2 linked regions of the Arabidopsis thaliana genome follow. Each later gene encodes a partner of the first gene's protein in a complex. Each region holds a gene or a part of one and is shown in the gene's direction. Other genes may lie near its edges.

Region 1 (8,736 bases):
ATAGTATAACATAACCAACCTCTTTGATGAAGAATCTATCTTCTGTTTCTTTTTGGGCATAGCTTCATCCGTCCTTCCTTTTAAAGATGCCTTCCCTTTCCCTTTAGGCCTGTAGAGAGTTTAGACAACAAAGATCATTCAGAATTACTTACTCCTAAATCTTTAGATTCAGGGACACAATCCACAGCCATGAATATATGTGTATCTGACACACTCATGTTCGTAAATCATGACTGTTAGTGATATTAAAACAATCGGTACTATACGATACAACACACGATCTAAATCATAACCCTAGTTAAGTATAAAGAGAAACTCAAGGTTGCGATGTCTAAAACAGGTAGGAAGATAAGGGCAAACTTACGGTTCTGGAGTGCCTTCAGAACTCTCACCAGCAGATTCCTCCTGTAGGGAGATCTGGAAAAAAAAGAATGCTGAACCATTAAAAGCTAGTGATACACAGGATAAAATCGACAATAAATGATTAAACAAACACTGTCTAATATCTACCTCATCAGATTCAGATTCAGCATCATCTTCTTCAATCAACTCCCATCTCTCCTTCTTCAGATCCAAGGTCTCTTTATCACCATCTTCATAGAAAACCTAATAACAATGAAGAGTAACTCATTAAATGACACATTATCTAAGCAACTTAAATTCCTCTGATAAAGTAAATCATCCACCAAACTCATTCAATTCAGATTAGATATCAATAGATCTTAAAATCCAAGAGATAAACCCTAATTCATTCATTTAATGAATGTGCAATTCAAAATCCAATCTAGATTCAAGCAGACCCATAGAAACAAGTAACAAGATACATGATATGAATTACCCGATGTTTCTTCTTGGAAGAGACATAGGAATCCACCACACCCTTATAGAATCTGCAAAACCAAGAGATCTGTAAGATTGACCACAAGTAACTGATAGTAAAAAAGCCCTAATTTTTTCAATAAGATTGGAACACTCACTTGCTGTCCATCGGCCACCAAACTCGTATCCTTGAACCCACCAAGGCTTCACCATATTTACGAGCATCAGAAACCTAGTAAAGTTCAATACTTTAGAGCAAATTCGCATAGAAAAACTAGTAATTCAAACCAAAGAAGAAGAAGCGATAGTTGCAAAACCTTATCCTTCCCAGAAGAACGAGTTGAAGAAGAAACAAGTCTGTTCTTGGCTGATGAACGCTTCCTAGAACCAACCATCTTCGAAAGCAATCAAAGGAAGAAGAAGAACAAGAAGGAATCTGTGTTTTGTGTTTGTGTTTGGTGTAAGATATTTTTCTTACAGCGCAGAGAGAGATTTATAGGAAGAGAGCGAAGAAGAAAGAAGCGGTGAAATTGGGGGTTTTATTTAGGTTACCAAGGGGTGTCATTTGGGGGATTTGAGAGATTTCTTTCCCCTGAACTAACCAACGACACGTGACTTTACTAGTTAAGAATTACCTCTCACGTGTTTGACGACGACCACATCTTTTCTTTGCTTTACTTCTATTGGTCTCTTCCACTCTTCTTTTTTTCATCTTTTTCTTGTTAAAGGTCTTCTTTTTTTTTATCTTTAGCCAGTTGTTATTTACCTATTAATGTTTTCTGCCAGTAATTGGACCTTCAATATCCAGTGTTATCAAGTTAGAGGAAAAGATATTTATCCTAGTATAGTGCTTTACGATGACTAGATGATGATCCTCAAATTAATATTAGATCACCGGAGTTGGTCCAAAATAAAATGATAGAAAATATGGTCATATTATTATGAACGATATATCTTCAGATTTACGGTCTTGGTTTTTAATGGTTTTCTAATAAGATTATTTTCTCTGAAACGTGATCAAGAACTAAATACTCGTTTTTACGAGTGAACTTAACGTTTAGTAACTTAACAGCTATGAGCCTTCTTATCTTTAAGTGTATCTTATAATAGATCATATCGAAATGTTACCTAGAGTTCATGTAGAATATGACATTTGTTTTATCAAGCTGTTCGAACATTTGTAGGAACGATCTAAACATCTCTAAACAATCCAAAACCCATAAAATTAAACAAATATTTGGTACTAGATGATTTACCTAATCTAAATTATATGTGCACGTGATATTAAAGAATTTATCTACGTTAAATACATGCAACTGTTTAAATAATTCTTTCTAATTTAAGTAACAAAAATTTCAATTTTAGTTTCTATTTTCGTTTTTTTCGATTTTGATTTTAAATATAGAATTCTATTTAGATTTTAGATGAGCAAGCAATTACACGGTGAGACATATTTTTGGAGGGTAACAATTAAGTAAATTTTGTTATATATATAAGAACAATTATGCAGAAACTTTCATGTTTGGTATGTGTTGGATTCCAGAAGAAATTTCCTAAAAATGGTCGGATGATGAAACCACCATCTAATATTTCGTGACTTGACATTACTTGTTTATTTTTTTTAATTTATAGAAAAAGGTACACAATTATTTGATATAAAACAAGCTAATACATTAGTTTATATAAAAACGAATTAATTATTACAAAACAATGGATTATGCTTGAGGGTAAGTGGGAAGCACGATGATGCCTTGACTCCGTAATAATAATTAGAATTAAAATTCCTTTATCCCCTTTCTTCCTAATAGTTGTCTTTTTTTGTAAAAAAAAAAAGAACTTTGGTCCTCGTTTGAGTTGGAGAATCTTTTCATGTAATAATTTTAAGAAGAAAAACTGATTACGCTGGTGAAACTTGAAAGTTTTTTTCTAAAATAAATAAATCTAAAATGATTCTATTCATGAACGAAGATGATTGTAACAAGTGATGCATGTATCTCTATCAAACGTCTTCCCATTCGTTGTATGATTGCATTAATATTGGCCACTTGTAACTTGTAAGGTAGAAATCCCAAAGTCAATTCTATTATAATTAAAATTACTTTGTTTTGTTTAACAATTATGCTAACAAATCCTTCTTAATAACAAGATAACATAAATCTAAAATCCTTTTTTTGAGTTGAAAAAAAACAAGATACCATATTTTCAATTAATTGGCAGAACTACATAGGAAACAAATCCGAAATTGAAGAGTTTACATAGAAGAAAAAAAAACAGAAATAAAAGAGTTTACCTGGAAAATAATCAAATATTATGTTCTTTCAAATTTTCGACAAAAAAAAAAATTGATATTCTTTCAATTTTGTGAGATAATCAGTACAGAAATTATTAAAATGTGATATAAAATTGCGAGACAATCCGTAGGAATATTATTACCAAATGATATAAAACTGAGTTAAAATTGTAAGAAAAAGAAGTTTTAAGGTTCTTCAAATCATCTAGCTGACTAGCTCCATAGCAAAAATAAATAATTTTGATTGTTTATTAGCACAATCTGTTTCTTAACCATATAAATTTAGACTTGTACAAAAATCAAAATGCAGTTTAGTTTATACAACTTTTCCTATAACTATAAAGTTCGATCGTCATAATAAGGTATAACAATTTAACTCTAGTACCAAATGCTATAAAATACATAAAATTTAAGAATAATGGAGGTAGGTCTACAAAGCAAAAGAAAAAAAAAAGATCATGGAAGTTACAAACGAACGGAATTTCCGTGATACACATAAATAAAAATTGGTCATCATATCACACAATTCGCATCATTAAAATAATTAGAAAACGGACAATACGGATAAAATAATTGGTAACTGGCCAAAACGTAATGATTGATGTAAGAAGACGCACGGCAAAACGTCGTCGTATAAGCTTTTCATCGTCAAACAAAACGGCTTCGTTTCAAGGCTCACACTTGTCTTTATTTATCACTTCATCTTCTCCAAAGCCATACCACTTGAAACCTCTCTCTCTGGTTGACCCGATAATTTCTCTCTCGCAGACGCACAGATCTCTCTTCGAATCTGCTAGATCTGTTCCTTTTCTTACATCTGTATTGCGAAACCTCTGGTAATTTCATACTTTCATGTCTCTCCGTTTCATTTCGATTTTCGTTTCACAGCTAGGGTTTGCTTTTTGTTACATCGATTTCTGATTTTCCTGGTGTTGTTGCCTCTTCCTCAGATCGGAAGGTTTCGTTTACAGATCTACCGATACGAGTTTCGCAGTATTTCCGAGTTCCGACGTATGCTTTGTTTTCAGATCTGGGTTTGTTGTATATCTAGAAATGGCGGAGACTTTGAAAGAAGATTCGATTATGATTCGAGAGGTTTGGGATTACAATTTGGTTGAAGAATTCGCGTTGATCCGTGAGATTGTTGACAAATTCAGCTATATCGCTATGGATACTGAGTTTCCAGGTGTGGTTTTGAAGCCTGTTGCTACTTTCAAGTACAATAACGATCTTAACTACAGGACTCTCAAGGAAAATGTCGATTTGTTGAAATTGATTCAAGTTGGGTTAACTTTTTCTGATGAGAATGGGAATCTTCCGACTTGTGGGACGGATAAGTTCTGCATCTGGCAATTCAATTTCCGTGAGTTCAACATCGGTGAGGATATCTACGCGAGTGAGTCTATTGAGCTGTTGCGTCAGTGTGGGATTGATTTCAAGAAGAACATTGAGAAAGGTATTGATGTGGTTAGGTTTGGTGAGCTTATGATGTCGTCTGGGATTGTTTTGAACGATGCTATCTCGTGGGTTACGTTCCATGGTGGATATGATTTCGGGTATTTGGTTAAGTTGTTGACTTGTAAGGAATTGCCTCTCAAGCAAGCTGATTTCTTCAAGCTTCTGTATGTGTATTTCCCTACGGTTTACGATATCAAGCACTTGATGACGTTCTGCAACGGACTGTTTGGTGGATTGAACAGACTTGCGGAGCTTATGGGAGTGGAGAGAGTTGGGATTTGTCATCAAGCTGGGTCGGATAGCTTGCTCACCTTAGGGTCGTTTAGGAAGCTCAAGGAACGTTATTTCCCGGGATCAACTGAGAAATACACTGGAGTCTTGTATGGTCTAGGTGTGGAAGATGGTACTACTACTACTGTTGCTAATTAAGAAGAAAGGAATGAAAGATACTTTGAAAATTCCAGGGAAGTGCGATTAGATATATTTCTTTAGTCTTTGTGAGTGTGAGAAGACCAAAATAGAATCGTCGTTGTGTAAATTGGCAAATTGGTGTTAGTAAGTGACTTGTTGTGTCTTTGTTGCTTTGTTTTCAGGAAAACCCCTTGTGATCAAAATTTGAGGGGTTTTTGTTTTAGCTTGAGTTTCTGAATGTATATCAATTCAGCTACCCGTTTATTTAATAAATAATCTCCAATTTTAATTTTTCTTCTCTTTTCTTTTTGTGTGTGTTTTCTTCTTACTAGTGACCAATGTAACTTGACAGTGGCTTCTTGTAGTAGCGTTTGCATGTCTCAGCTTGCAGTTACTGTGTAATTCTTTGTAACCATACCAGTTTGAAGATGCAAACTGGTAAGTTTTATGCTTAAGAGAATGTTGAATCTTCCTGTGTTCTTCTTTCCCTCTTCGTTGATACAAGTTGATAAGGAGAACAATGAACTGCTTATGCTAGAGGTTATATGTGTTACATTGTTTAAAAAACAGAGCTATGGTAATCGATTGATGTATAGATTTGTTATTTAGGTGTTTATGATGTAAGTGGTATCATGTCATGGTTAATGTGGAGGAGAATCACATATGTATGCTGTTGCATTCGCCAATCACCTCAATAGCCAATTTATTATCATATTGTCAATGAGTAGCATTCTAATGCAATCAATGTTTTGTTGGGCAAGTATTCAGACGTCATCTGAGTCGCAAGTGGTACAGAAGATTACGAGATTTGACTGATTGAGACGTCGTAGCTCATTCAATTGCCGAAGAAAAAAAAAAAAGTATCAGCCTGTTGGAAGTATTATGTCAAAATGTGGATTTGTGTATGAACTCAGTTTCCATCAAGATAATTAAATCTAAGTTTCTCAAAACCTTAAATATTTCATTACACGAACTTGTTTGATGATCGAAAACATATGATCCAATAGCAACACGACACGAGAAATAAAGTAAAAAGAAGAAAACAACAGCAATACGGCAAAAGTCCGAGTCACTATTATGTAGGTGTGGCAGAGAATCAAATCTACTTCTTATTACAGAAGAAACAGTGTACTTGCTAGTCCTGTCTTTAACGGCTTCTCTGAGTCTCTTCACGTGTGTTTGTGTGTTGGGAATTGGGATTCTGATTTGGGCCTTTGTTGTGTGGGCTTTGATCAGAGGTGGGAGAACGTTTTTACCAAGGTTGAATTGGGATTCTGATTTGGGCATGTTTGTTGTTTTAGGGTTTAGTTATTATCAAATGACCACTATTGGCTATTGCTTTGCTTTAGGTAACCAAAAAAACGTTACATATTTAAATAAAAATGTGTAACACAGTGCGGACGAAATAGCATCAAAATTATTTATATACATATCAGATATGAATTGAGTTAATTAGTGTCTAATTATTATCTTGTGGCTGCCATATGTCTTTTTTGAACTTGTTCTCGTTGAGGAAAATTTGGTATGCCTAAACATAGTATGTTTATCAATTTGGTTGAGACCAGCAAAATATCAGTGCCAACCCTAATTATAACGATTACTCATCAACTTATGATATACATATCCTTGTGAATCCAAAAGAAGCTGTCAAGCACCCACTTTTATTTTATTAGTTTTTTTTTCTGTTGATGTATAGTACTTGATTGCGGAAAAAATGGTAAGTAACTAAGTATGATTAGGGCTATTTGTTATTTTATTCTTCAAAAATGAAGAGTAAGGTTCAGATGTAGTTTTGAAATATACTTTTTGCCTAATTTTGGATGAGACAGACAAATCTAATCAAAAAGATTCAGCTGATTTGTGATTACTGGTAACACAAATAGTGTTTATATTTGTAATCATCCATGTGGGGGTGGTTTCTCCTGCACCACTTGTCTCAGTTCCCCTTACGCAATCATGTTTCTTGTTTTTAAATGCTAATGTGATACCTATACAGTCTTAAGTTATTATAAAGTTCATATTAGTGTACATGTAAGAGACTTATAAAATAATTTGTAGTCAATCAAATTTTTAATTGATACTAACAATTGATCCACCGAATCAGCTTTCACAATTTCTTTAATTGTAGATCGTTTGTAACATTGGACCCACGAATTATATATAGGTCGCATTCGACAAAATACTCAACATACTTAAACTAGTTGTCCTAACAATTAGTTCTTTGGATTTTACTTGCCTATTTTTATATTTTCCGGCTTCCACCACATATTAATTTATGCTAAAGTTTTCGAGAAATCAAATACTGAAGATTCGTATCCCGAGCAAGCATAGATGAGACGCTTTGTCGTTTCACTTTGTTTTCCCACCCAAACCAGAACAAAATTTATTGGCCTTCGAATATTTCGGAAAAAACAAACAATATTCATTTAATGGACTTGTGAAAGAAGGGTGATATTAATCTTTAATCATGTCACTTAATTGATATGATAAATATTCAAGTGAATCATGTAAAGTGGAAATCACTGTGAAGTAGAATGTGTCCTAAGGGAGTTTCGTACCTTTCAACCATAAAATCCGGCAAACTATTAAGGATTCCAATGGATATAAAGATGAAGGAGAGTGTGAATGTGAAGCAAACTTCAAAAGGAAGAAGTGAAAAGAGGACAAAAGAGAGTTAAACAGTGGAAAGCTAAAAGGAAACAGAGATGACCACTTTCATCTCGAAGTTTCAAAAGTACACAAAAACATCAAACATACCTGAATAGTTTCACTTGGTCCACTCTCTCCTTATCTCTCTCTCTTGTCATTGAGCATCCTTTTCAATTTCATTGTCACTTGTTGTCATCTTCATCTACTCCGTGAATATTACAACAAGTTGTCGTTTCATCCAAACAAATAAAACCGGTCCCAGTTTCAGAAGATCTTTTGAACTGCCAAGCTTTCTTTTGTCTTGTTCCCCCCTCCAAATCCTTTTTTCCTCATACAAAAGAGTCTATAAAGTCTCCATTAGTTTAGAACTAGTGACTACTACTGTACATATTCTATGTAAGATTTGTAGGTTGGGCTAAGGTGGGTTTAGTAATTTCCTTACACATATCCGCGGCTGCATACAAAACTATACCAAATGAAGACGAGTTGGGGCCTATTAGAATCTGTCCACAGAAAAACAATGAATCCATCAATCAGAGTGGATTTAGCAAGCAAATATCAAGCATAGTTCAAAAGTTCATGAACTCACCAGGAGTCCAAGACAAAAAGTAAATATTCATTGGGATGGCTTTCTTGAATTAAGCCCAACTCTACATGTCATTGGCATCAACCTGGGTATAAGAAAAAGAAATGACATGTATACTTGTTTGTTGAAGAACTTTTAAGCACATAAAGGCAATAGACTGAGAGAACAGGAAAAAAAAAGTTAAAGAAGATTATGCATGATAGGGAATAGAGATTGGTGTATTGAAGGAGAAAGCAGCCCAAAAAAAGGTTGATGTGAAGTGAAAGTTGCTCCTACAAAGGGATAAACACAGGTATTAATTGGTGGAGTTCCAATCAGCTTCAAGTGTTTTGTTGTGTCTTTGTGTGTGTGTGTGTGTGGTGTGTCAGCAAACAAGACCTACCCATCTCTCTTTCTCTATCTCTCTCATCTTCTTACTACTTTTCTCCACTTATTACAAACTCCAAAAGCATTTGTACTGAGTCTATACTTTCCTTATATAGCATCAACTTCTGCTCCCACTTCTGTGAAAAAACTAGACTTT
Region 2 (9,209 bases), on another chromosome or scaffold:
ATTACGCTGCACAGGGGTCGGCTTCACGTATTTGCACCTCTGGATATTTAGATTGAGAGCTTCTCCGAGGTCTATCTCTGCAAATGTATTAACAGGAGGTGGCACATTATCCCCACTTGTCTCGATGGGAATATCTTCATAGGCCTCAAAGTTAATGACAGTGTTTTCCTGCTCGTTAACAGCCGGGTCTGCATTTCCATCATTACCAAACGGGTTAGTTTCAGTATCCCGACGGTCCCAACCTCCACTTCTGGCATTCCAACCGCCCACAGGACCTCCTCTACCACCATAGCCCGAACCTCGACCACCATAACCTTGGCCTCGACCACCATAACCACTATTTGCACCACCATATCCCCCACGATCATTATTACCAGGTGAAGGAGCAACAAACTCCGAAGATGGTGTACGGCTCCTAAGATGTGGAGGAACATAGTTGGTTCGAGACGGACGAGAATAACCCCAACCACCACCAGATGGTGCCCTCTCTGATTCAGAAACATCAGCCCATGAATTTGAACTCATAGTTGCTTAGCTTTACCAGAATCCTTCAAAGTATTGGTCTTCAATTTTGAGTTTGATCAAAGCCCCTGGATATCGTAATAAATATCAGTTCGAACAAGTTCGTTTTCCATAAATAAGTTGCAGCTATGCATGTAAGAAATGAGAGAAAGAGTCAACAAATCCAAATACTAAAAATGAAGAACAAATGCAAATCGATTCGAGAGAAGTAGTTATCTGTAGAAGAATCTTCAAAAAACCTCAGCTAATCGAATAATCTAAGAAATAGAAACGACTCGTAGTAACAAAACAAAATCACGATGAAGTAACACAAAGCTGAGAAGAATCGTTCCCTAAAACGAACAAATGCACAAATCATTAAACCCTAGAAGCAAAATGAAATCGAACAGGACATCGCTGCATAGATTTAACGACACCATGCACAGAGAGATATGAAGCCAGACCTTAAGAAACTCGACTAGAAGAAAAATCTTAGATCAACGATCAATGGTGTTCGAAAAAGCTTGAGGATATAAACCCTAATTTTCCCTTGTTCTCGCGATCGCACACGAAGCAAATGAAACAAAGGTTTCTGGGAAATGAGCAAAAGAGAAAAGATGAAGAGATATTTGTATTTCGATGAACTTTATTAATTTCCAAAAGCCTTTCTCGTTTTTTTATTTTATTAATTTTCAGATTGTTTGCCGTTTTCCAACAACGAAAAGCGTGCCGGCGTTGCTATAACGAAGTGAACTGTGTGTCGTCATAAATTAACATAGCGCGTGATAAACACGAAGAGCAAGGATTGGATAGAGACGAATATTTATTGTGGTCTGGACAAAAGTAATTACTGACAAATTTAGATATTAATTGCCAGCAAAAGTATTTACATACCAACTTATTTTAAACAAATGTCATAAATATGAGTCTGTACTTTCATTTCCATTGAAAATCATAATTTTCTAAATATCTATATTATTATATTATCTGTCTCTACCTAATTTGAATATTACAATGAAAATTTGTAAAAAATAAAATATTTTTGACATCATACATATATTTCAAAAAAATATTGTCAGCTAACTCAACAATTGGCCACAAATGCAAGTAAACTAAAAAACATACAACTACTTAACATATATGGATTGTATGATTATACAAGTCGTCAACATCATAAACATATAATCTCGGGTTAAATGGTCGACCAACTCCAGCGTTGATCAGCATTGACCAACAAAATATTCAAAACTAATTATTAGTATTAAAAAAATTAATGTTATTTGATATTGTAAAATACAAAAAAATATATTTATATCCAATATAAATATATTTTGTATATATATATAATGCATTAATTCATATAATATTTACTTTATTTTTTCAATTTCAAAACTAAACTAAGAGAATAAATATTTTTTTAAGATATGAACTATTCATAATAATAATAATAATAGTTAGTTTCTTAAGAAGTTAAATTTTTAATTGCTAAATATTTTTAATCAATAGTTAGTTTTTTCTTATATTATTCGTAAAAAACATTTACTTTGAATTTAAAAATTACCGTGCAAAATTTAGACTAAAAAGTTATATACTCAATTGTTTTTCATATTACTTTCTTATGAAACTTATATAGTCATGTGTATTTGGTTCTGTAATGATTTATTTTCTAATGAATAAAGAAGTTTATATATTTTAATTGATAATACAAAAAAAAGATTCTTTCACTCATATGTTTCTAATAAGATTTTTCTGGTTTTAATTTCAGTTTTTTTTTTGTTTTAAAAATTTTAATCATTTTTTTCATTTTTAGTTTAGTTTTGAAATTAAAAAAAGCTAAATATTTTAAGAATCAATGTATTAAATATATATGCAAAATATTTTTATAGTAGATGTAAAAATTGTTTTTTGATTATAGAATAACTAGTAAAACTAGATTTTTAATATTAAAAATAAAGTAAAAATTTATTTTTGAATATTTTTGTTGGTTAACACCGGTTGACGTTAGAGTTAATTGGTTATTTAACATGAAATTTTATATTTATAATGTTAACTATATAATATTATATACTTGGTTATGCAATCTATATACATCATTTAATTAAGTGTTATTTAGTTTAGTTGACATATATAGTTTGTACTGTATTATATTTTCCGTAAGTTTCAATCTTTTTTATTATAAATAGGTGAATATATGTGTATATAGAAAAAAGAGTATTAAAGACTTTTTGTTTCCCTTTGGAAAATAAAATAAAATAAAAATACGAGTCCATATTTGGTCTTGAACGAGACTTGCGTTCATTCCTAGGGGGATGAACCTCTTTGTTCACCTCCTTTTGCATTAACTAATAAAAATATGTCATGTCAAATCCTATTTAAATTACATAATAAATTGAAGCTATAATTATAATCCAAACCGATATATAATTTCGTTTAATTACAAAATCTAAACCCTAATTCTTCTTTGTAAATCCAAACCGCCATTTAAACTCATTTAGTCGTAAAAAAACTAAACCCTAATCGTATTTTCTAAACCCAAACCGACATTTAACCTTGTTTAATTGTTAAATCTAAACCTGTTAATAAATCTAAACCAATATTTAACCCGTTTAATCATAAAATCTAAACCTTAATCGTACTTTCTAAACCAAAACCGATATTTAATCTCGTTTAATCATAAAATCTAAACCCTAATCGTATTTTCTAAACCCAAATCAATATTTAACCTTGTTTAATTGTAAAATCTAAACCATGATTTTTTCAAATAAACTCAAATCGATATATAATTTTGTTTTTGAGGCAAATTAGATTTTATAATTAAATTAAACTTTTATTATTATTATTAGGTTTTAAATTTTAATGGGCTAAAACAGTGAATATAGAACCCAAGTATTTTTCTTTGGTCTTTGTCCATCTTTGGAAATTAATTTAGTCGTAGCGAACAAATCTATCCCACTCATTGGATTTCAATTTCATAAATTTTAGGTTGTAAAATTCGGGTTTGGAGAAAATTGGGGGTAAATCTAGGGTTCTGGGAAAATTAGGGTTCTGGGAAAATTAGGGTTCATCCATGCTGTCGAGTTTTAGGGTCAAGTAAATGACGGATCCATTAGGATCCGTTTTATATCTTATGCTCTCTCGTCTCAATATATATATTTAAAAATCTCAGCCTTTGGGCTTCGTTAGTGTTGGTTTGCTTTCAGAATTTAACTTAGTTACGGTAAAAGCAATGCTTAGCGTTATACGAGTGCATCTACCGTCGGAGATTCCTATTGTTGGCTGCGAACTTACACCTTACGTACTTCTCCGGCGGCCTGATAAGACCCCCTCCACCGATGATGTGCCTGAGTCAGCCCCGCTTGAAGGTCACTTCTTAAAGTACAGATGGTAAGTCATGCCTGTGGCTTCCTTTTACTCTTAAATCTGCTCCCTTTTACTAGCTTTTGCTCGAGTTTGTTATGGACGACTTTTTTTTACCGAAAGTTTGAGACTTTTCTGTGAATTCCCGGGTATGATTTGTTTAAGTGTTTCTTAGTCAGTTCAAGTCTTTGTTCGTTTGCAAATTTGAGTGTGAAAAATGATTTCTTTAATTGTAAAGTAGGGTTTATAAGTCTCCAGTCTTGTCTTTTGGTTCTGTATTAAAAGATGCATCATCTGTTGCAGGTTTCGAGTACAGAGTGATAAGAAAGTTGCGATTTGTAGTGTGCATCCATCCGAGACGGCAACATTGCAGTGTCTGGGATGTCTAAAGTCTAAAGTTCCTGTTGCCAAAAGCTACCATTGCTCTACTAAGTGCTTTTCGGATGCGTGGCAACATCACCGTGTGTTGCATGAGCGTGCTGCCAGTGCTGCTACAGAAGGAAATGATGAAGAAGAGTTGCCCCGTTTGAATAGCTCAGGGTCTGGATCTGGTGTTCTCAGCACCAGTGTTAGTTTAACGAATGGGTCATCATCAGTTTATCCTTCAGCCATAACTCAAAAGACCGGCGCCGGAGGAGAAACACTTGTTGAGGTTGGACGCTCTAAGACATACACACCAATGGCTGATGATATTTGCCATGTTTTGAAGTTTGAATGTGTAGTAGTCAATGCAGAGACAAAACAGAATGTGGGCCTTTCTTGTACCATATTGACTTCCCGTGTTATCCCAGCTCCATCACCTTCTCCGCGTAGGCTGATCTCTATTAGTGGAACTGATGTTACTGGGCACCTGGATTCTAATGGGCGGCCTTTGTCTATGGGAACATTCACTGTGCTGTCCTACAATATATTGTCTGATACATATGCTAGCAGCGACATATACAGTTACTGCCCCACATGGGCTCTCGCTTGGACATACCGTAGACAGAATTTGTTACGGGAAATTGTCAAGTACCGTGCAGATATAGTTTGTCTACAAGAGGTATGTTAAATATTTATGGCACAAGTTGTACTGACTTGGAAACGTTTCAATTGCTAGTTAATGGATAAATACCTCTCCAATATTTTCGTTTTTCATCTTGCAGGTACAGAATGATCATTTTGAGGAGTTTTTTCTTCCTGAGCTGGATAAACACGGATACCAAGGTCTTTTTAAGAGGAAAACAAATGAGGTTTGCTTCAACGCATCCCCTTGATCTTCCATTACCTTTTCGTGGTCACTTATCTGCAAGATGTACCAACCAGAAAATATTGATTCACTGGATAATTTTAGGTTTTCATCGGTAATACAAACACAATTGATGGGTGCGCTACTTTCTTCAGAAGAGACAGGTTCTCACATGTAAAAAAATATGAGGTATGTCTTAGTTTTCTCCTGTTACCTATCTAATTAGGCCCATTTGCTAAATCATTGGGCTGCTCATCCAGGTTGAGTTCAACAAGGCTGCACAGTCTTTGACTGAGGCTATTATCCCTGTTTCCCAGAAGAAAAATGCTTTGAATCGGTTGGTCAAGGTACTCTGAGATGCTCTATAGTATGATTTCTGTTTTCCGCACATTCTTGGTGATATTTTTTCATGTAAAACTGATTTAGAGTCTTTCTTTTTAGGATAATGTTGCTTTAATAGTTGTACTGGAAGCAAAATTCGGTAGCCAGGCTGCTGACAATCCTGGGAAGCGCCAGCTACTTTGTGTGGTAAGTTGTCCATCTTTTCAATATTGTTCTTTATTGTCAGAGATGATGCTAGAGTTGAAGTTATGTGTTTCCACTTCCTCTTCTCCTTTAAAGGTCTCGAGGTGATCATGTTTTCTCTCTTTTCATGTATTTGATGGGTGCAGGCTAACACGCATGTAAACGTTCCTCATGAATTGAAAGATGTAAAGCTGTGGCAGGTTGGTCTTTATTTCTCATTGTAAAAGAACTCTCAGATTTCGGATTCTTACATCACTATTGATCCATAATGATTCTTGCCCAAATAGGTTCACACATTATTGAAGGGACTGGAGAAAATAGCTGCCAGTGCAGATATTCCAATGCTTGTGTGTGGAGATTTCAACACAGTACCTGCGAGGTCTGGCTGGTTTTCCTATTTGTTATGCCCAAGTAGCAATTGTCAAACTCTATATTAAATTATGATTGTGGTTTCTACCTGAATTAACTTGGAGTTCCTTCTTAATATTTTCAGTGCTCCTCATACACTTCTTGCTGTGGGAAAGGTCGATCCATTGCACCCAGATTTGATGGTTGATCCTCTTGGAATTTTACGTCCTCACAGCAAGCTTACTCATCAGCTGCCACTGGTAATTATCTTTCCCAAAAATGGAAAACAGATGCACAGAATCGTGAAAGGCAGACTTCAATTTTAATTAGAATGGCAACATATGCGTAGACATCATACCTTTGTGACCATTGCAGGTTAGTGCCTACTCACAATTTGCAAAAATGGGAGGCAACGTTATTACTGAGCAGCAACGTAGAAGACTGGATCCTGCATCAAGTGAACCGTTGTTTACCAACTGTACCAGGGACTTTATAGGCACACTTGATTACATATTTTACACAGGTTAACTTAAGTGCTTACTTTCAGGGGTTTTACGCGCCAGTGTTTGCTTTCATCTCAGATTTCTTTTTCATCTGGTAAGCAATTTGCTTTTTGTTTTGTTTCAGCGGACACGCTAACAGTGGAATCGTTGTTGGAACTGTTGGATGAAGAGTCCTTGAGGAAGGACACAGCTCTTCCATCTCCAGAATGGTCTTCTGATCACATTGCACTTTTGGCTGAATTTCGCTGCATGCCCAGGGCCAGACGAAACAATATTTTATAGAGATACTGCAGCTGTAATAACCCGATACCAAAGACTGGTTCCAATGGATATGGTTAAGCTACATGAAGTAGATAGCATGGCCATGTCCCTGGGGTTTCTCCCGCTGGGTTTTTCGCTTGCGTTCTACTCTGTATCACAGTTTTATTTACTGCTTGGTTCGCTTGGCTTTTCTTTCTATAGTTATTTCCTCTTTGCCAGAAAGTTTTGTCTTCACTGGCTTGTGATTGTAACAATGTAAACAATTAGATTCTTCAAGAAAATAGTGACTTCACCTTTTCCATATTAAAATCTGTGTCTTCTATGGTTGCAATCCTCCTTACACTCTTAACCCTACAGCTTAACCATCAATTTTCTAGTCTCTTCACTTGTAGATATCTTGCAGATACTGTGAAAACGAACTGTGAACAACTTGATATATTTTATATGTACCCCTCCAATAACTGAAGATGATCCAAATTCCAAAACTCAAATTTCAATTCAGAAATTAGACATGTTAACCAGTACTCATTATATAATCCTTTTAAATCAAGTTTCTTGCAGACTTAGAACTCTCGAGTATCCCTATAACTAGAGAGGGAAACATATGTGAACAAGAAACAAGTCTTATAAAAAGCCACATTAAGTTCTTACTCTGCTGCATTAACTGATGGCTAGATTCATGGCTTACAATCAAAATCCACAAATGTTGGCTCTATGCATAACAGTAGCAGTAATGTTCCTTGGTGTGAGATCAGAATTGAGTCAGGATATAAAGGGATGTCAGGATGCGATGTCTGATCTCTACTCTTGTCTTCCTTTTGTCACTAACAAAGCTAAAGCACCAGACTCAACATGTTGCAGCACACTCAAGGTAAAAATAGACAAAGGGCAGACCAGGAAATGTCTATGTACTCTAGTCAAAGACAGGGATGATCCTGGTTTGGGGTTCAAAGTTGATGCCAACCGTGCAATGAGCCTCCCTTCCGCTTGTCATGTCCCTGCAAACATCTCTCAATGCCCAGGTGAGAGATTTCATATCTTCTACAATATTGGCTTGAAAAAGTATTGCATGGTCACAAACTAGATTGTTCTCATTGTTTCATTTTGTTTGGAACAAGATCTTCTACATCTGCTTCCAGATTCACCAGCCTCTCAAATATTTAAGCAATTCACTGAATCTTCTTCTCAGACTGTTGGACATAAAGGTACTAATAACAATTCTTACAGTTTTTGATTCTATTCGTGCAAACATTAATTTTCCGTTTTTCTCGGAACTAAAAGAAAACGAATAAAAATATTGCAGCGGTCTCCACAAGCTCAAGCATCAAAGGAAGAGACAACAAGCAATTTGGTTTAATGATGGCTGGTGCTCTCTCAATATGGTATATAATGTAAAATCCTCTGTGATCTAAAGTTGATGAACACAATAACCAAAATCATTATACGAGTCATATCTACTAGCTGAAGCAGATGTATCATGGCTTATTAATAAGAACTTATTGAGAAACTCTTAAGCATCATAGAATGCGATTAGAAGAACTCTTTGAAGCATATCATATACAAAAACAGCTATTTAGTTTCATGGAAACGCATTGAAAGAAAGAAAAAGAAAGCTTAAAATAACACTTGACAAACATGGACATGATCACCAATTAAAAATCTGCTACAGATTACTCACTCACTCTCCTCAATGAATCTGATGACTCCTTTAGCCACTAAGTCATCAATCTGGGCCTGAAAAAGCTTCTTTTGACGAACATTTTCCTTTTCTAGTTGATGTAATACGCCGAATGCGACTGGTAAACCTATCACCGATACTCGAGTCCAAACATCTATTGCACCAAACCATTTCGCAAACCTTGCTACTGCACCCGCCATGACTGGATCTGGGGATCATAAGATTTTAAAAAATCAAATTACCAACAAGAAGAAACTCTAAACCTCTGATCCGCAGATCTAGTTTCTACTAAACATAATCCTCATGAAGATCAAACAAAATTCACAATTCGAGACCGAATCTGTAATCTATTGACGCAGATCTTGAAACAAGCAAAGCTAAATTCAACTTAAAACATCAAAAGAAGTTCTCGATGGCGAATCGAAACAAGAAAAAGAAGAAATAGAGCATGACAAAGGTGCGGAGACATGCGCAAACGAAATTACCATAGAAGAAAGAAGAAGATGATGGAGAAAATCGAGTAATGAACAGTACCTCGTGAATCGTGATGTGAATAAAAGCTTCGAAACTTGGATTTTGTTGAGAGAGAGATGATCCAGAGATGAAGAAATTGAGCGCCAAGAAGAAGAAGAAATGTCCGGTTCAAGGGGGGTATATATAAATACTACAACACATAACCGGTAACAACAAAAAAAAAGATATTTTTGGTGGCCAAATATTTATCTGCTGTGCATTGGCGTATTTTGTTACTGTGTACTAAGGCATCCAATACGTGACACGCGTAGTAGTAGCACTGTATAGGTAAATT

The links. Proteins that work in one complex are often made in the same cells at the same time.
Region 2: AT5G10960 (region 1) and AT3G58560 share a complex: the UniProt entries of both Arabidopsis thaliana proteins name them as parts of the CCR4-NOT complex.

The regions. Positions count from the first base shown.
Region 1 is NC_003076.8:3,460,419-3,469,154, forward strand, and holds AT5G10960 (Polynucleotidyl transferase, ribonuclease H-like superfamily protein), read left to right. Parts: upstream 1-3,679; 5' UTR 3,680-3,945; intron 3,946-4,059; 5' UTR 4,060-4,162; coding exon 4,163-4,996; 3' UTR 4,997-5,896; downstream 5,897-8,736. Other genes in the region: AT5G10950 (Tudor/PWWP/MBT superfamily protein), read right to left, coding at 20-109, 365-417, 511-606, 839-890, 978-1,051, 1,137-1,214. UniProt on the Arabidopsis thaliana protein: Ubiquitous transcription factor required for a diverse set of processes. It is a component of the CCR4 complex involved in the control of gene expression.
Region 2 is NC_003074.8:21,648,415-21,657,623, reverse strand, and holds AT3G58560 (DNAse I-like superfamily protein), read left to right. Parts: upstream 1-3,423; 5' UTR 3,424-3,727; coding exon 3,728-3,885; intron 3,886-4,161; coding exon 4,162-4,900; intron 4,901-5,003; coding exon 5,004-5,090; intron 5,091-5,191; coding exon 5,192-5,275; intron 5,276-5,346; coding exon 5,347-5,433; intron 5,434-5,527; coding exon 5,528-5,614; intron 5,615-5,757; coding exon 5,758-5,811; intron 5,812-5,898; coding exon 5,899-5,990; intron 5,991-6,104; coding exon 6,105-6,219; intron 6,220-6,334; coding exon 6,335-6,482; intron 6,483-6,586; coding exon 6,587-6,744; 3' UTR 6,745-7,059; downstream 7,060-9,209. Other genes in the region: AT3G58570 (P-loop containing nucleoside triphosphate hydrolases superfamily protein), read right to left, coding at 1-525; AT3G58550 (Bifunctional inhibitor/lipid-transfer protein/seed storage 2S albumin superfamily protein), read left to right, coding at 7,391-7,745, 7,842-7,928, 8,027-8,118; AT3G58540 (uncharacterized protein), read right to left, coding at 8,398-8,601. UniProt on the Arabidopsis thaliana protein: Acts as a catalytic component of the CCR4-NOT core complex, which in the nucleus seems to be a general transcription factor, and in the cytoplasm the major mRNA deadenylase involved in mRNA turnover.